Linked DNA regions of Alligator mississippiensis. The protein of the gene in region 1 interacts with the protein of each later gene in a pairwise test. Links are inferred from orthologs where the notes say so. Each region holds a gene or a part of one and is shown on either strand. Other genes may lie near its edges. The genes, in order: NEK6 and TASOR2.

Region 1 (10,062 bases):
TAATTTCAAGGTTTCAAATTCACTAGGTGAACAGTTATTCTCTGGTATTAAGGAGGACAGTTGGCTCCAAGGAAAGGGGAAAAATTGGAACTTGAGTCATCCCACGCCACTTGAGCCAGGAGCGGACTGCTGACTCAGAGGCAGGCACCGACAGGCAGCAGCGACGGAGGAACTCGCTGGGGTTCCTATCCCCCAGCGTGCCATTTTACACATCTCCTCTGTAGGGAAACCATCCCAGCTATCCAGCACCCATTTTTCTTGTCAACATGGATCTGAGGGTTCGTTTCATGTACACAGCACGCTTTCAAGCAGCCTGACGGACACTTCTCCCCTTGTAACAAGTGGGTTTCTTGGGGCTCGAGGACTGAGCACCAAAAGCAGCGGGAGAATGGGTCAGCGCCACTGGGCTCGACTACAGAGAAGGCTAGAAGTCCTGCCCAGGGTGTGGAACAGATGCCACCTGTTCAGTCCACATTCTAGGCTTGTCCCCAGGGCCGCTGCTCTTATCTGCCTCTTTTTTGACCCCTGTGATGCCAGTGCACTAAGCATAAATGCTGGTTACAGTTCGTTTCAGAAATAGCCCACAACAGGAAGGGGAAAGAACCTTCCCAAATGGGACTCTTCACCTATATAACCACACACCAGTATTAGGGGATTCCTTCCCCAAGTCAGATACTAACTACTGCATCAGTGCTGCCCAGGGGGATGCCAACGTGAAGTACTAGATGCAGAGAGTGTGTGCATGTGCTCGGACACCTCAGGACTCAGTAAGCTCTCACCTCTCTCCTAGCAGTCCTAGGGTCTACACTCTGGGAATGTACTGGAGGATTTAAGGAGCAGGAGAGAAGCACCTGGGCATAAAACTCCAATGAATCTCTTCCTCCTCTTAGCTAAGAAACTTGGCTCTGGAAAGGATTTCCAACAAAGCTTCCTTGCCTGGAAAAAATAAAGTTCCAGAGAACATTTTAAATGATCTACTTTGCCAAGAAATAATCTGCCCATCAAATTAGGAAAGCAGAAATGCATAACAAATTTGGACAGGTCAGTCCTTTCACAGCAGCCCTCATTCAGTCAGTCCCATGGCTGATGGTCTGGGAAACAAGTGTGAACGCATATATACCAGCCTCCAACACATGCCAAAATAGCCTTGGAATTAAAATATTTTAAATTAGTGACAAAAAAGCCAAATGAATGAAATAGTACCTTACTCACTGCAATCCCAGCACCTGAATGGAAAAGGTGTACTTCTTTTGGCCAGTCTTTCAAGGTCAATGACCCACAGTTGCACACTAGGACTGGCTTGTTTTAATTTTTGTATTTAAAAATATATTTGAATTACTGGTAATAACTAACTGGATTTTAAGACTAAAGCTCTTACTCAAGCCAATAATGATATTGGGTGGAAAAGAATATCTAGCTGCTTTAAGGTACATATTAATAAATCAGGCAAAGTTTCTGAACAGTAAAAGTAGCAAATTTCACAGGGACACAAAGTTGCTTAAATCACTCAATTTAACCATTAAAAATAAATGCTTGCATTTTCTGCACTGATTATTTTAATTCAAGCGTTATTTTTACGTGTCTTCCGCTGTCGAGTAGCATTAGTTGATATAGAAACAACACCACAGATTGTTATAGAATATGATCTGAAAGCTCAGTAAAATGCAGTTCTGCTTGAAGTTTATGTTCAAAATACAATATATAAAGTAAGTTATCCTTTCCCCCCCCCAAATTGTGAGATTTTAAACAAAAGCCCTGCATGTACCTGTAGTTTTCCATCAGTTCCCTTCTGGGGCCTTATTAATGAAGAAAAATATAACATACTGCCCCAAGAATTCCCCAGGTTATCTGATTTTACTGTTCTTGGTGTATAAAATAAGGACCAAACGTGGGATAGCGGATCCTCTTATTTTGACAAAATACAGCTAAATAGGAAGAAATACTTGAAGAAGCACTGCAAAATGATGGAGGGGAAAACAAACACATGCAGTCCACACCACCGTGGCAGGAACATGAGGTGCATTCTGGGTGAGGACGACGACTTCTTCTGAGCCACTCTGAGCAACGTGTCAAAAATCAATACCAATTGATTCTTCTTGATTTCTAAATCTCGCTCAGATGCAATTCGACAAATTTACGTGAAGTATTACAGGCTGCTCTTTAAAAAACAGAATTTGTAGAGACATTAAGGTTCATGAAAATAATAGCAGCTCTCCAGAGAAATGGGGTGGGTTCTTTTCTTTTGGTTAGCACTAGTTTCCTTTGAACAAACATGGTGTGTTGCCCGCCTGCCTGCCTCACCTACATGCATAAAAAAATTGAAACCAACTGAGATGCTTTTGTTACATTACTGTTGGTTTTGCATGAAAACCTATTTGGAAGCAAGCAGCAAAGGGGATTTTGTTCCTCTCCCATCTGTGACAGACAGCTGCTCACTAGCTGGAATCTATGAAGCTACCAGACACTTAAAGTAGCACCAAACTAAAGTAAACATTATGCTTAAAAAAAAAAAAAAGTTTTTTGAAAACCATCTGCCCTATTTCACAAAATACAATTTCTAACATAGTTTTGCAATGTGATATCATAGCCCCCTCTATACAATTAGGACGTTCTTAAATGTTGCCTGTTCCTAGAAATTAAATGGTTGATCTTTACCTTGAAAAAAATGTAAAATAGTTTATTTCTGACACCTTCAAAATGGTATTCGAAAACCACAACTTAACCCCAGAGATTTCTCAGGCATGTGAAACTGCGGCACTTACAGTAGGGCCAGATGTTTAACTACTCAGCACAGGTTAGACTTTAAAGTAAAGTAATCTCAATCCAATCCAAAACAATTCATATGTAAAATTTAAGCCAAGACAGAAAAAAAAAGCAGATCAACCACATAAAAAAAACTGGTATCTATACAAACCGCTATATTTGAACCACTTAAAAAAACCTCAGGGTGGTTATTTGTTTTGATTTGTTTTGTTTTAATAAAGCTTACAAACGTTTCAAGCTGCCTGGTTTATCCTGCATTCAAACAGGAACTCTACTGCCTGTGCCCCGCGTTATGAGCAGAAGTAAGACAGCAGCTTTCTGCCTGGCTACTTATGCTTTAAAAAGTTAAGATTTATTTAAGATGCTTGTAAACTGGGAGTTTCAGGGGTTTACTCCCTTTGTAATATAGATCACCGGTTGCAAGGTGCGGACCTCGATTGCAATCCCGCCTCGGACAAGACGCGTGCAAGAGAACAGCGCGGACCTGGACCTTCCTGACCACCAGCAACTCTCCACGTCACGCATCGCAGCTCCTCCATCCTCTAATCGGTTTCCTTTTACGCTTCTTTCTCCCTGAGAGAGAGGTCAATCCAACCTGCATCCTACAAGTTAATAATGGGCCGCACCTGTTCGATCACCGCCAACCCATGCCTCAAGCCAACAGGCGACTGCCCCCAAAAAAGGATCCTGTATCATTTTGTCCAGCCCAGGTCTGAACCCCACAACTTCCTCTGCTCAACCATTTCACCGATTACTGCCTGGCACGTTAGTTAGTCCTTGCTGATGTCCAACCTAACCATACCCTTGTGCTTACTCCTCTGTGCATTATCTTGATGTCACACGAGCCCCCAAGAGCTAACTCACAAAAACTTTCCAAAACTCTGCCAACGTTTGCCCGAGCGGCACGCGGTATCTGTGTCCGAGCGGCACGCGGTATCTGTGTCCGAGCGGCACCGTGCTGCTTTCACAGGTTGAGCATTTCTTGAAAGCTAGCGGCTTCTCAAGACAACAGCTACGAGACACATGTATAAAGTTTGAGAAATTAAAATCCAATTCTCATTTTTATAACAAGGGACTGCAACGTGACCGCGAAGGGGCCTCCGAAAACTTATCCTAGAACTCGTATGAACGAGAAGATCAAACATTGACTTCCGTTCCCTGCACGGCCTGGTCCGAGATGGGTCCTTCCTCCAGGGTTTTTTAATCTGCAAATTAAGGCAATGCTGCTTCAAAAACTACATGAAGATCTCCTGATGAAACCTACTGGATAAAGTATTATCATCCGCCGGCACTACCTGCCAACAGAAAGGCTAAATGAAAAGACCCCGTCAAGGGTTTCGTTTTCACTTTTCGGTAGGTCTCAACCTTTCACGGGCAATTTTAGCCTCCGGTGTCGCGTCACAGATTTCGGGCTGGAGGGAACCTCGCGAGACCCTCGGGTCCAGGCGCAAGGTGAGTGTGCAAGCGTTTCTTTTGCACGTCCGCACCGCTCCGGTCCCAGTCGGCCACGTACCTACGCCCGTGACGCCTGCGGCAGCACCCCAGGGTGCCGCAGCGTGGCGGGTCGCCGGGCCCAGCCCCGTCCTTGCGAGGGTGCCACGGGCGGCCACGCGGCATCGGCGCCGTTCAGCGCGCAAACACGACCGGCGGTACGTTGCGCTGCCCCGCCGCGACGGCGGGATCGCTCCGTTCGGTTGCTACCGTCGAGCTTTCCGGAAGCGCCCCGGACTCCGGCACGCCGCAGAAAGAGTGGAGAGCCGCGCGTCCACGTCGCGTGTCCACGTCCAAGCCGCCCCCGTCCCCACGGCCCCAGAACCACGGAGGAACCTGAGGTAATTTTCAGCAGCGGGGGTCCCCCGAGCCCCCTCGGCGCAGCCCGGCCGCGCTCGTGACAGGAAGGACGGCGCGACGCGACGCGACGCGGCGGGGACGGCACGCGGCTCCTTCCCCACGACCGCCAGCGGAGTGGGGTGGGGTGGGGTGGGGTGGGGGGCTCCCCCCCCGCCGTGCCCCCCGGGGCAGGTCGGTGCCAACCCCCCCCTCCCGCGCGCCCCCGTTACCTGCCGAGCGCCCGCGCCGCCTCCCGCCGCCTGCGCGCGCCCCCGCGCCCGGCCCGGCCCGGCCCCCGGCGGCGCGAGCGCGAGCGCCAGCCCCGCCCCCGCCGGCGCGCCGCCGCAGCCGCCACGCAGGCCTGCGCCGGGAGCGCGCGCGCTGCACCGCGCCGCGCCGCGCCGCGCCGGGGGGCGGGGCCGGGGGCGGGGCTCCGCGCACTCGCCCCGCCCACCGCCCGCGGCTTGGCGCGGCTTGGCGCGGCTCGGGGGAGGCATGCGGCCGTCACCTGCATGGCGGGGAGGGGGGTTACCACACGGGGCGCCATAAATGCTCTGGGCTCGCGGAGGCGCAATAAATGTTGGCGGGCCGCCCCTGCGAAGGAGCCGCCCGGCCGTGAGCGGGGGAATCGCGCCATAAACGTCGACGAGCGGCCTGTGCCAAGGCCGGGTCACGCAACAATGGCGCGATAAATGTAGACCCGGCCCCATGCAAAGTGGTGATCGTATAATGACCCGGGGGATCGCCCAATAAATGTACACCCGCCGCCTGTGCAAAGTGGTGCTCGTGCAGAAGGAGGGATGCGCAATAAATGGAGACCGGCCACCCCCGCACAGTGTTTATCACGTGGAAATGGGGGGGCCACGCAATAAATGTTGACGGGTTGCCCTTGCGGAGTAACCGCCAGGCTGTGAATGGGGGAATCGCGCTATAAATGCAGGCAGGCTGCTTGTGCAACGTCAGGATCATACAGAAATGGGGAGGCACGCAATAAATGTTGATGGGTTGCCCCTGCAAAGTAGCTGCCAGGCTGTGAATGGGGGAATCGCGCCATAAATGCAGGCAGCCGCCTGTGCAAAGTCTGGATCGCACAGAAATGAGGGGGATGTGCAATAAATGTTGACGGGCCGCCCCTGCGAACTAGCCGCCGGGCAGTGAATGGGGGAATCGCGCCATAAACGCAGGCAGCCGCCTGTGCGAGGTCCGGATCACTCAGCAACATGGGGGGGGATGTGCAATAAATGTTGACGGGCCGCCCCCGCGAAGTAGCCGCCAGGTTGTGAACGGGGGAATCGCGCCATAAATGCAGGCAGCCGCCTGTGCGAGGTCCGGATGACGCAGCAACGTGGGGAACGGCGCGATAGCCGCGTGGGAAGGGTGAAGTAGCGCGCAGCAGCGATCGGTGTCACACAGAGAGGTGGACGGTGCCCGGACGCACGGCCCCTTCGGCGAAGGCCGCTCGGCGTCCCGCGCTGTTCAGATACGCGTCCCCTCTCCGCCGGCGCGGCGTGTCCACGAGAGCTGCGTGGAACCCCCGATCACCTGAGACGTTTCGGGTCGCAGCGCCCTGTTTTTCCAGCAGGCTCAAGCTCGCGTGGTTTCAGCTTCGAAATAAGTTTGTTTCGCAGGAACCTGAGAAACTGCGGCAAGCGCTGGATTAAATGACTGAGTTCATCCTACAAACCTCCTCGTTTCAGGCACGCTTTTTTTTTTTGTTGCCAAACCAAGGAGACGTCTGGAATGAGTCTGAGCTCCACGTGAATTGAACGCAGTTTCATCCACGAGAAACTCCTGAAACGCCCTGCCCTGGCTGGCTTTGGGCTTTGTTGTTCGATTTTGTCGTGTGAGGTCAGCGGTGCAGGCGGCGTGGGTACGTGCAGACATCGTCTGTCCGGCACGCGAGTCTCTCCTGTGTATTAGCACTCGAGACGCTGCGCGAGTATAAGCTGTACCTCCTTGCATTACTGTGATAATGCGAGGCATTTTCTCTCATGGGTGCAGATGCCTGCGCAGCTATGCCATGCTTCTCGCTAGAGACAGAGCAGTAGACATAACAGATGGAAACGAAGAGGCCACCTGGTTTTGAAGCAGATCGTATCGTCAATCCATCAGTACCAAATCTGCAACACCGGGTAGGGCTTCGATAAACAACATTAAGTCATTTTTTTCCCTCTACATCTCAGGCATCCCGGGAGCTGTAGACTTCCCCACCTCCTTTCTCTGAAAGATAACGCTCTCTAGAGTTGAGGCACGAGGATGTCGTGAGCGTACAGCGCCAAGAGGAGCACGAGAGGTTTGTTCTGCCATCCTCCGTCAATACCTCCTAGGCGAGATGTCTTTAAACGTGTGCTGGGCTCCTGCGCACAGCTACCAGACCCGGGCTTTTCACTGCTCGATTACACAGACCATACAGCTCTACCCGTACTTCGAGTTAGCAGAATTCAATAAGGAAAGAAAAAAATTAAATTTCCTGAATTACATCGTGATGGAGATGAATTTAGCCTGACATGGTGCATTATTATTCCACGGGAAATTCCTTCCTGGAAAAATCAGAGAGGAAAAATTCAAAGGACAATTTCTCCTGGAAGCTTCTTGTAAAATCATGAATTCATCTTGCACCCCTGGCTCCGCATGGCCGTGCTAAAAACATTGCATTAACAAACACGGAGCCACTTGCAACTGTCCAAGGATTGTAGGATTAGACTGCATAACTCCAAATCAAATTAGATAGATAGATAGATAGATAGATAGATAGATAGATAGATAGATAGATAGATAGATAGATAGATAGATAGATAGATAGATAGATAGATGTGTATTTATATATGTTTATTTATATTTCAGCATCCCTTCTAATGAAGTTATTGCCATTAAGAGCCATCAGACTGCTGTTGGCTTCACTTAACTGGTTTAATTTTTTAGAGCAATGATTTTATGATCTGGGTCTTAATTTACAGTCTTTATAGGGTCAGTATGATCACAGTCATATCAGATAGTCCATGATTGATAACATCTTGGCTCTACAGGTTTAAATAAGGCAGGATTTCACCAAGTATATCAATACATGCATCCTGCCTCGTTGGTTAGTTTTCTGGTCATTGTGCACTGTATCTACTTCCTGCAAGAAGTTGTTTTCAATAAAAAAAAATCCCCCCTACCAAATAAAAAACAGAATGAGCTGAAAGAGACTTTTGTCAGCAGTAGCCAAAGAAGAAAGGCTGTGAATTTTCCTCTCCAGTTATAAAGCTGCAGCACGTCTTCTCCACATACATACAGTACATGCAAGCTACTTCCATACTATGTCTGCTACATGCATGCTCCGTTCTCATATTTCTGTAAGGTTCGAATCCCAAAGGAAGAATTAATGCTAAAGGAATGCATACCAGTATGCAACTAGTCGAAAACTCAGTACAGAAAATCTCCACCAGCTTGCCTAGAGAAACACCTCTATTATTTTTACCATATTAAGATCTGCGAGTTGTTCTCATGAACATTCGTGCAACAGTTTAGTCGCAAAACTGATAAAAGTGATGCAAAGAAAGAAAAAAATTGGAATCAAAAAGGGGATTCAGAAAGAATTGGTGTTCGGGAAGATAATGCAACCTAGACAGGTCACGTGCCCCAGAAAACAACTCCAGCCCAGCTGCCTGTGGATCTCATCAGGGAACCAGATGTGACCAGTGGCAGAATATCCTTCACAGCATGGGATCTGGAGTATGCGATTGCCATCCAGGAAAGGGGAGATGGGAAAGTATGATGGAGAAAAGGTTTTGTTGCTTAAAAGAAGTTTTCTTTTTCAGAAAAGATGCTAGGTTTGGGAAAGTGTTTGGGGTAAAGAACAGAAGGATTTTTCATACAGACACAGAAGGTTTTGTGTTTTTTGCCTCCACTTTGTTAACTCTAAAGGACTTTAAAGGATGAAGCGACGTAAAGAAAAAGCTCGTATTCAACCATTTTCTTTTGCTCAGAAAAAAACCTAGGAGGGAAAATTAATAATACTAAGGGCCCCGTTGTCCTCTGCCCAGCAGGGCTGGAAACTGTGAGCTCCTGCTCATGGAATTTCCTCATTCTTTCATCGAGCAGCGGGTGAAAGGGGAAAGGCGCCTTCCCCTCAGCAGAAGCTGCAGGAGATTCAACCTGCAAGGCATGGGTACAACCGCTGGAGGCAGGAAAGGGGCCGTTTCACCTCCAGCTGCTTGTTGTGCTGGTCGCATTAGCTCGTAGTGGAAAGGCGGGTTGAAGACGAGGGTTTGCAGGCAGAGGACTCTACACGCTCATCGCTTTGTGGGCCGAGTTTCAGTCTTGTGGCGCAGCCACAGGGAAAGCCCGGTCTCCCATCTGCGCAGCATTCCCTCCGGAGGCTACAGTCGAAGAGCGAGGGAGTCTCCAATCCAGCTGCCAAGGGAGGCTGAAATCTTGCATTTGACCTGCTATCCAATGAACCAGTGAAGAGGGCAGAGCACAGGGGGTGAGCTCCCAGCAGCCCATGTTGCCGAGCGGGGGCCTAGATAACGACCGTTATGCTAGTCAGGCCTAGAGACTGTTCGTAGGGACGTAGGCTCATGCCCTCCCTTCCCATCGCCGACTTGACTTGACTTCCTCTCCGCTCCAAGCCCAGCACATTCCCTGTATGCTGTCCACCAAGGCCAGCTTCACCAGGCGTGCTTGGCTGCCTTCGCCAGTGCAGCATCTTCTCACGGGAGAAGGTCATCTCAAGAGAGCCAGGAATATGTAGGCATTAACATTCACCGAAGCGATCTCCTAGAAAAGGGCAATTCCAAGAGAACAGGATGATCCCAAGTCCAAGGCAATATGCACCCACGGTTTTTGTTTAGCTCAGACCTGTTCACAAGGCAAAGCATGGCCAACTTTGGTTCTTGCCCTTGATCAGAAGGGGTTACGCCATCTGAAAACTCCTGAGCTTTGCATTCACTTGGATCCAGAGCATTTTGACTGGTCTTTTGAAATCCATGCATGTTACTGTGAAGGTGCCCGAGACCCAGGGTGTGAGCCAGGGGTAGCGACACTAGCAAGTCATCCCATCCTGAATTCCTGTGCTGTGCTTAGATGCATGGAGGGGGTTTGCAGAGTCTAATGTGGGGCATTGCACACAGCTAGACATAGCTGGAAGCTCTCCCCTGCAAGCCGAACTGCTCAGGTTCATCCAGGCCCCTTTCTAAACTATGCCACAAATCTCTGGTGAGAGGCTCTAAAATGCGAGCCCCTTCGTTAGCCCCTTTCGATCCGTTCCAACCAGCCAATCACGGGATTTGTAAGGACACTCAATCCACCGTAAGGGTCCATTGTTTTTTGCATACGAATTGCCTTCAGATGGCACGTGATTGTTTCGGACAGTTAGGGATGTTCATACACCTCCCTTTGCCCAGTTTTCAAAAGCACAGGTTTGATTTCTCACAGCTCCATGCGTATTTCTCTCTCTCTCCTCTTTTTCTTTCTTTTTTTTTTTAA
Region 2 (9,863 bases), on another chromosome or scaffold:
ATAAGCTCTAGAAAGGATGCCTTTATCTTAAGGCTGCTCACTGTAACTTAAGATGAGTCACTCTTTCAGGGAAGCCAAAATATAGAACTGCCAGGAAGTGGACCCACACCAAAGTGCGATCACAGCCTTTTTGCACAAATTCATTAATCCTGGAGTGCACAGTTAACACACAGTAAAGCTACAGCAGTCCCAGCCAAGCGGCTGCCTCAACCCAAATTCATATAAAATCACAGACAAGAGGAGACTGGACCTCAGGAGGTCACATCTAGTCCAGCCCCCCCCCCCCCCCCCCAGTTCAAAGCAGGACCAGCCCCAACTACATCATCCCAGCCAAGGCTTTTTCTAGCCAGGTCTCTCCAAGGATGGTGAGTGCACAACCTCTCTGGGTGACCTGTTCCAGTGCTTTACTACCCTCCTTGTGAGAATTTTTTTCCTAATATCTAACCTAAACTTCCCTTGCTGCAGCCTGAGCCCATTGCTCCTTGTCCTGTCATCTGCCCCCACTGAGATCAGTCCAGCTCCATCTTTGCAACCCCCCTGCAGGGAGTTGAAGGCTGCTATTCAATCCCCTCAGTCTTCTCTTCTCCAGACTAAATCAGCCCAGTTCCCTCAGCCTCTCCTCACCAGTCCTGTGTCCCAGCCCTCTAACCATTTCTGTTGCCCTTCACTGGACTCTCTCTAAGTTGTCCACATCCTTTCTGTAGTAGGGGTGGGGGGCAAAACTGGACACAGGACTCCAGATGTGACCTCACCTGTGCAGAATAGAGGGGAATAATTACTTCCCTTGATCTGCTGGTAACACTCCTACCAATGTAGGCCACGATGCCTTTAGCCTTCTTGGCAACAAGGGCACACTGTTGACTTATATCCAGCTTATTGGATATGACAGGGGCATGTATATCCAATACCCAATATTGTATATAAATTCATAGATTCATAGATGCTAGGGTTGGAAGGGACCTCAACAGATCATTGAGTCTGACCTTTGGCTTGGGCAGGAAAGAGTGCTGGGGTCAGATGACTCCAGCCAGGTGCTTGTCTCCTCTTGAAGACCCCCAAGGTAGGGGGTTTAATTCATGCTACAAGTTTAGTTAGTTTAGTTCATGCTACAAGAGCACTACCTCCCTTGGAAGCCCATTCCAAGTTTTGGCCACCCTTACCATGAAGAATTGAATAATTCAAATTGTGGCACACACAAAAAAATATCAACAGCCGGAAGAACTGTTTACATCCTCTTTGCTGATGGATACCAAGAAGTCATCAAAAAGCTATGGTACTCAAAGCCATTCAGAAAAATGTGTTAAAATGCTTTGAAACAGAGGAGGGGAGAAGGGATTTCTTGAAATCCCAAATCTATCCTATCGCTCAGCTTCCCATTGACAAGCCACAGGTAAACACCTAGTGTGTTTTTGCAAGCTCCTTGCTGTGAGATCAGAGCACTTTGCAACTTGGAAAGAAGTTCATGGAACCTCAGTGTTGTTCTCTGTTCTCCTAGAAAAGCAGTGATATACATCTATGGGTGGATCTAGGATTTTGAAAATGGGGGTGCACATAGTGAGGTGCATCATCACATAGAATCATAGCAAATGAGGGCTGGAAGGGAGCTCAGGAGGTCCCATCTAGTCCAACCCCCTGCTCCTAGCAGGACCAGCCCCAACTACATCGTCCTAGGCAGGGCTTTGTGTAGCCAGGTCTTCAAAGCCTCCAAGGATGGAGCTTCTACCACCTCTCTGGGTAATCTGCTCCAGTATTTTACTACCCTCCTTGTGAAAAAGTTTTTCCTAATATCCAACCTCAACTTCTCTTGTTGCAACTTGAGCCCATTGCTCCTTGTCCTGTCATCTGCCCCCACTGAGAGCAGTCCAGCTCCGTCCTCTTTCGATACAAAACAACACATATACAACAACATATATTTTTCTCCAGGTAAAAATAAATCAGAACTTTACTAATCTGCTAGGGGCCTATGGCTGCGTTATTTAGTTTAAGACTGAAGCAAAAACAAATATAAATTCATTAGAATGAGGTAAAAACCATCTGCAGGGCTGTGAAATAGGAGCTTCATGACTAGGAGCAGTGAGCAGACAGCAGAACTGCAGACCAAAGGGTGACTTGATTGGTGAGACATTGAGACCATAAAAAAAGAGAAGATCATTAACACCTGTAGGGTGAAGAGTTTAGAAGGGATGGAGTAGATGACAATGAGCCATGAAGTTAGTTGATTCCCTCAACGCTGCCTGAGTAGAAATGCCACTGCCACTGCCAGAAAGTTGGTTTTAAATTTTGGGTGAAGCAGGAATTAAAGGGGTGTGTAAATGCACGAGTGCACCCCCTTGGATCCACCTCTGTGTACACCTTCCTTCTGCTGTGTCCCAGAAGAAAGGCACAGAGAAGTGTGGGCTAAACTTCATACAGCCTTGGAAAGGTAGTTTGGGAATCTCCTTTTGAATGGGTTTTTCTGAACCATCTGATTCTAGAGCAGGGGAACTGCAGTGACCTTTTTATCTCCAAGCAATTTAGTCCCTGGAAAGTGCTTTGTAAATAAAATTAGAAACACAGAATCATTCAAATTTTAAGACTGGGATGGACTCAGGCGGCCACAACTAGTCCAACCACTTTCTCCAATCAGGATCATTCCTGTTGAAACCATTCTAGATAGACAAGGGTTTGTCAAACCTTAAAAATCACAAGTCTCTAGACTCATTAGGCATTTGAATCCAGCAACTCAAGCACAAATCGTCTCTCTTGGCCATGTACATATGTGCATGGGTATATATACACAATTACTTTATACATGTATAATTTCTATATGACATAATATAGAAATCACTTTCAATACGAATGGCCAGGAGCACCAAGGGGAACTCACCTGGGTACGTCGTGGGATCTAGACAGGCACTCATAAGTCTGAGCTGTGTTGCGGATAGAGAAAGGGGGTAGAATCCCTGCAGCCTCGTCCCAGCTCTGACAGCGATTCAATGTCTGACCATGGACAAATCACTTTTCCTTCCTGTGCTATGGTCTCGTCATCTGTAAAAATAGGGGAATGCCAACACTTCCCTGCCTCTTGGAGTCCCTGAGATTCAATGGGCTGCAGATTACTTTGAGACCTTTGCATCACAATCTTTGTGCTCAGTTGCATCTTTGACTCTGCCACTGGCTTGAAGTATGACCTTGGGCATGTCACTTCCTCTCTCTGGGTCTCTTTTTTTTCCCTCCCACTGTGCATCAGTCTTGTCTCCCTCTCACACTATGTATATCTCAGCACTTAGGACCGACGGGGCTGATCTCAGTTGGAGCTAGTAGGTACCGGGGGGGTACAAATGCAACATAATCAGAGATTCCTACCATACCCAGCAGAACAGGTTCAGCCAGCCCCAGGCGGACATGTTTTATCTTAAGTAACCTATTGCAACACTTGCCAACTGGCTGTGTTTCCTCGGTGGTGGGATCTATTCTTCAGGCAGTCAAAAGCAGAAGGCAGCACAAGGTAACCTTGAGACCAGCTGGTTCAGAGAGGTATAAGCTTTTGTAGGCAACAGCCTCCTTCACCCGGTACAGAGAGCTGATATTTAAAGAAGCAATACTGAATCCTGCCGTGACTGCCGCCATCCTGGAAGCAAGCAGTGGGGCAGCACCCCCCTAAAAAATGATGGACAAATGAAAAAAGCTTTGGTTACAAATCCACAGGAGAAAATCATACGGGAAAGACTGGTGTCAGAGCCAAAAGACTACTAAAAATCTCATGTTGTTCGCTTCTCTTTCCACCTGATAAGCAGCTGCTCCATTAAGAGATCAGCTTTCTCTACGACTGACAAAAAAACCTGCTTTATATGGTGGTTAGGCAAAAGGGTTATTTATCCACTCTTTTCTATTTCAGCGGTTTTAGAATCAACCTCGTTAGACACCAGGCCCCCCTCGGAAAGTGCCAGCTGTTCATTTTCATGCATTTTTTGACTTTGGAAAAGTAACAGAGCAATTCTTCTGTTGCAAAGAACTCAGAAACACCACAGCAGGTCACAATGATTTGGGCACTGTGGATTTCTATTTGAAATCTCTGGGTTTATCCTGTGACTTGCATGGATGTAGCTGCACACATCACAATACAAATAATGTGTGGCACCCTCATCTCATGGCACCCCAGTTGAGAATCACCACGCTGCAGCTTTGCTACGACTATCTACGAGTGAATGTCACCGCTTTCTAGTTTCTTCTTTGCAGTATAGTTTCTCTGGAAGAAAAAGGGCAGCTGGGAGGAGGGAATAGCCACTGCTGATAAGGTTGCTTAAAACTAGAAGGGGAAAAAAAAATCATTGATTTCAAAATACTTTTAATAATGGACTTTGAACCTAAGTTTTAGTAGCTGCCTGCTTTTCACAGGAAGGGGAGCACACCCGTGCTCCTGTCCTTTGATCAACTGGGACTGCCTTTCAAAGTATGCCCTGCCCAGCCACTTCCAGCCGCCCCGTCGGACCATGGCAGAGCTGGGGGGTGCATGCAGCACAGCTGCTGTTGCCCTTGGCCAAGGAGCCCTCCCCATCATGGGGGAAGGTGGGCCATGAACCCAAATTAGTATCAGACAGTGCCGTGCCCCCATCCCTTCTCATGTCAGCCCCAAAGAGGCCTGGGGAAGGTGTGCGCGCTGGCAGGGGGCATGAAGGGCCAAACCAGGCGTGGCTGGGAGGCCACTCCACTTCACTTTCACCAGCAGCAGCAATTCAAACCATTAGGGAAGTGGGCACAGGGCACCTCTCCAGCCAGCCGGCAGGGCACACGGGGGCACAGGGCATCTCTCCACCCAGGGCTCATAGGGCGCATCTATACGTGCGCTTTAATATGCATTAGTCTATTTTAGACATAAAAATCGCAGTAAAGGTGATATCTTGTATTAGACCAAACAGATTTTTGCAAAAAAAAAAGTAAAAAATTTTAATTGCAAGCTTTCGGGCTCAACCCCCGCTTCATCAGGCATCGGAAAAAAGATTGCCCAAGTTCTCCTAGGTAGAAATGCAAGCTCCTATTTCGTAGGCGACTTAAAACCCGTGGGCATTTAAACATGTCCATTGGCGGCGCGTGCGTCTCAACAGCAAAACGCACACACACCAGCGCAGTTTCGAACTAAAACACCTTTTGATGTGTTTTAATTCAAAAGCACGCCACCATCACGTTCCCATTAGCACAGACACGTGTACAAACGCCCCATGATGGAAGGCGCCCCCACGCGTGCGCAGACGCGCCCAGGCGCGGCATGGAACGCGGGGCCGCCGTAGACTAGGTGGGGGGGAAAGCGGAAGCGGAAGTGGAGCACCACTTCCGGGTCAGTTTTCACTTTCTCTTTTTTTTTTTTTTTTTTTCCCTCCCCTCCCCGGCGGCGGCGGCGGCGGCACTTCCTGCGCGGGCGGCCGACATGTTCGCGGCGCCGGGCCGCGGGATGCGGCCCCGAGCCTGAGCGCGGCAGCGGCCATGGCGGAGCCGCCTGGTGAGTGCGGCGTCGGGCCCAGGGGAGGGGGAGGCTCGCGCCCCTCAGGAGCCGGGTTTGGGGGGGCTGAAATGATACCGGGCCCCTGTGTGGGTAGCCGCACGCATTGATCTAAGGACATCAGCAGACAAGCTGGAGGTGATATCTTTTACGAGACCAACTTAAATAGTTGTGGGGAACCATTTTGTCTAGCAAGCTTTCTGGTTTAAAAACCCTTTGTGGGGCTGAGGAAGTCTGTGCAGTCGGTGTGCGCTCTTCCTAGAAGGAACGAATTGTCATACGCCAACTCTGCTGCAAAAAAAAACCTCTCCGAAAACCCACAACAAGCCAAAACGTTGTAGGCAGTTTGGATTCGTATTTGAAATCTCTGGGTTTCTCTTGGGGATCCTGGGTAGGTGTTTGCACACTTAACAGTACAAATCGTCTGCATTGCAACAGGTGTGCAGAATGCTGTGCAATACTACAGTATTCTGTACAACCGTGCAGATCGTCTGCATTGCAACAGTCGTGCAGAATGCTGTGCATCACTACAGTATTCTGTACAACCGTGCAGATCTTCTACATTGCAAGAGTTGTGCAGAATGCTGTGCAATACTACAGTATTCTGTACAACCGTGCAGATCGTCTGCATTGCAACAGTCGTGCAAATGCTGTGCAATACTACAGTATTCTGTACAACCGTGCAGATCGTCTGCATTGCAACAGTCGTGCAAATGCTGTGCAATACTACAGTATTCTGTACAACCGTGCAGATCGTCTGCATTGCAACAGTCGTGCAAATGCTGTGCAATACTACAGTATTCTGTACAACCGTGCAGATCGTCTGCATTGCAACAGTCGTGCAAATGCTGTGCAATACTACAGTATTCTGTACAACCGTGCAGATCGTCTGCATTGCAACAGTCGTGCAGAATGCTGTGCAATACTACAGTATTCTGTACAACCGTGCAGATCGTCTGCATTGCAACAGTCGTGCAGAATGCTGTGCAATACTACAGTATTCTGTACAACCGTGCAGATCGTCTGCATTGCAACAGTCGTGCAGAATGCTGTGCAATACTACAGTATTCTGTACAACCGTGCAGATCGTCTGCATTGCAACAGTCGTGCAGAATGCTGTGCAATACTACAGTATTCTGTACAACCGTGCAGATCGTCTGCATTGCAACAGTCATGCAGAATGCTGTGCAATACTACAGTATTCTGTACAACCGTGCAGATCGTCTGCATTGCAACAGTCGTGCAGAATGCTGTGCATCACTACAGTATTCTGTACAACCGTGCAGATCGTCTGCATTGCAACAGTCATGCAGAATGCTGTGCATCACTACAGTATTCTGTACAACCGTGCAGATCTTCTACATTGCAAGAGTTGTGCAGAATGCTGTGCAGTACTACAGTATTCTGTACAACCGTGCACATCTGCATTGCAACAGTCGTGCAGAATGCTGTGCAATACTACAGTATTCTGTACAACCGTGCACATCTGCATTGCAACAGTCGTGCAGAATGCTGTGCAATACTACAGTATTCTGTACAACCGTGCAAATCGTCTGCATTGCAACAGTCGTGCAGAATGCTGTGCAATACTACAGTATTCTGTACAACCGTGCAAATCGTCTGCATTGCAACAGTCGTGCAGAATGCTGTGCAATACTACAGTATTCTGTACAACAGTGCACATCTGCATTGCAACAGTCGTGCAGAATGCTGTGCAATACTACAGTATTCTGTACAACCATGCAGATCTTCTGCATTGCAAGTCGTGCAGAATGCTGTGCAATACTACAGTATTCTGTACAACAGTGCACATCTGCATTGCAACAGTCGTGCAGAATGCTGTGCAATACTACAGTATTCTGTACAACCGTGCAAATCGTCTGCATTGCAACAGTCGTGCAGAATGCTGTGCAATACTACAGTATTCTGTACAACCGTGCAAATCGTCTGCATTGCAACAGTCGTGCAGAATGCTGTGCAATACTACAGTATTCTGTACAACAGTGCACATCTGCATTGCAACAGTCGTGCAGAATGCTGTGCAATACTACAGTATTCTGTACAACCATGCAGATCTTCTGCATTGCAAGTCGTGCAGAATGCTGTGCATCACTACAATATTCTGTACAACCGTGCAAATCGTCTGCATTGCAACAGTCGTGCAGAATGCTGTGCAATACTACAGTATTCCGTACAACCGTACAAATATTCTTCATCCTTAAAAGGATCTCATGGCATCCTAAGGTATCACACCCTGGTTGAGAATCGCTGACCTACCTGACCCCGAAGTCAGCTGCAGGTTCAGAAATCCAATTAAAAAAATTTAGTCTTGATCTTTTCTTCTAACCACGAGAAAACACTTCCCCCTGTGTTTTATTTCATTTGTTTGTAACCATCACCCTTTTTCCTAGTATCAAAGTTTTGCTGATGCCAATAGCAGGTCTAGACCCAAAGTCCAAGTTGTGTTTTTATTTTTTGTAGGCAAAAGTTTGCCAAACCATTTCCTCAGAACAGTTTTTTTATTTGGTGATTTGATGCCCTCCCCCATCCTTGAAGCACCAGAAGTCATCATCGTGCTCATGCAGGAAATCAGAAAGTGAAAAAGGCTAGAAACAAAAGTGAAACTGAATAGTCTGACTTGTCTAACATGGCATATGTGCATTGTTGAACAGGTTATAGGATGTGAATGGAGGGTAGAAGTGCTGTTAACGATGGGAATTAGACTGAGGGGGGCATTTTGTATGAATTCTGTGCCTACAATGGTGGGATTCAGAAATATTGGGCGAGTTTTGCTGCAGGTAGGAAGATCTTGGAGAAACCAGGTAGTTGCAAGCTAAACAAATCTTTGAAGACTGAACTCTGTGATGTGCTAAATTGAGAGCAAAGCACTGAGGGGTGGGGGGTGTTTAAGCTGCACCACATTTTTGGAGCAGAAATGGAAACCTGAGACTTGACAGAGATCTAGAAATCAGAAAAGTGATGCCTGTCCATTTTAGGCAGTGACCATTAAAAGCAGAATGCAGAAATTGGTGGTGGTGGGGACATTTAAATGTGTAAGTAGCATTTAAATGCCTTGAGGCAAAGTAGGGCTTGGGACCTAAGCAACAAGGAAATTACCACCACTAATTAGCACTGCCGCTTCAGAGGTGGAAGTGTGGTGGGCCTGGGAATATACAATTTAAATCCCTGCAATTAAATGAATCCCTAACAGGAGAGGGCACACTAAGGGGTCAGAGTGTTTCAGAGTGGGTCCGACGATTAAAGGGAACATCAAATGGCTGTGTAATAGATTAACAATGGCAACCCTGTAGGAATCAACATTTTCATTAAATGCTAAACTGACGAGCTGCTAATGGGAGACCTTGAAGAAGTGTGTCCCTTGCTGAGTTGATTGTGTCCCTGCCTTTAGAGAGAACCTTTTTTTCAAAGGAGACACAAGGCCCAATACTATAAACCAGGAATTCCCAATGTTTATGTGCCCAAGGCCACATTCACATTTTTAAAAAAGCAGCAGGCGCCAATTTGACAGCATTTTTTTGTTGGAATAATGATTTTTTACTGGTCATGAAAATGCACGTGGGCACCTGAATAAACCTCGGGGATGGTGCCCGCAGGCACTATGTTGGGAACCGTTGCTATAAACTCACCAGGCAGGGCTGGGAGCAGAAAGAACTTTCTCAAATACCATTAAATTTGCTAGTTTGCTTGTAGAGGTTAGGTGGATGGTTTGTTAAAGGGGTTACCATCTCTTTGGGCAGCAGGACAGTCCTTTTGAAGCAATTCCAGCATTTTGCTGTACAGACAACAGGTAGAGGATGATCTAAATAGGCATTCTCAGTCTCTGGAATCCGTGTGTAACCCCTCTGCCAGGCCCTGACAGCCGGAACAAGGGCTGGGTTCAAATTTAGGGGTTTTACACCAGCTTTTCAAACTGAGCTTGAGCCTCCACCCAGAAATATGGGAAAGTAACGTTTGCACTAGGTGTTCTAACAAGAACGGACTTCCCCCCTCACCAGCAGATGTTAAACTGAAATGGGCTTGATTACAAGAGGTGCAGGGGAGAAAGGAGCAAACATACAACCTTAAAGAAAACTGCTGAACCTTCACTGAAACCCTAAACAGGTCCTAGTCACTGGCAAACCAACCCACCACCCCTAGCCCAGGCAGTTGGGAAGGGAGACATACTCCAGGTTGCTGACCCTGACCTGTTTCAGACCCTGACCTGTTTCAGAAGCAAGCTCGGGGAGTTTATTTCTTTAGCAACAGTGAGCAGCAGCTTTTTTTCCCCCTGAACCCAGCAAAGATGCTTCTGGGTACCTGCATTTTTTTTCCATTTTTTTTTTTGATTTATAAGCTACACAACCATCCCAGGGAGTGATTCCTGTCT

What was found.
Region 2: the proteins of NEK6 (region 1) and TASOR2 interact in binary tests that used the Homo sapiens proteins (3 or more experiments, as listed by UniProt). The link is inferred for Alligator mississippiensis from reciprocal best matches to the Homo sapiens genes NEK6 and TASOR2.

Annotation. Positions count from the first base shown.
Region 1 is NC_081835.1:65,888,295-65,898,356, reverse strand, and holds the start of NEK6 (serine/threonine-protein kinase Nek6), read right to left. Parts: upstream 4,915-10,062; 5' UTR 4,824-4,914; intron 1-4,823. UniProt on the Homo sapiens protein: Protein kinase which plays an important role in mitotic cell cycle progression. Required for chromosome segregation at metaphase-anaphase transition, robust mitotic spindle formation and cytokinesis.
Region 2 is NC_081827.1:6,053,979-6,063,841, reverse strand, and holds the start of TASOR2 (protein TASOR 2), read left to right. Parts: upstream 1-5,369; 5' UTR 5,370-5,460; coding exon 5,461-5,476; intron 5,477-9,863.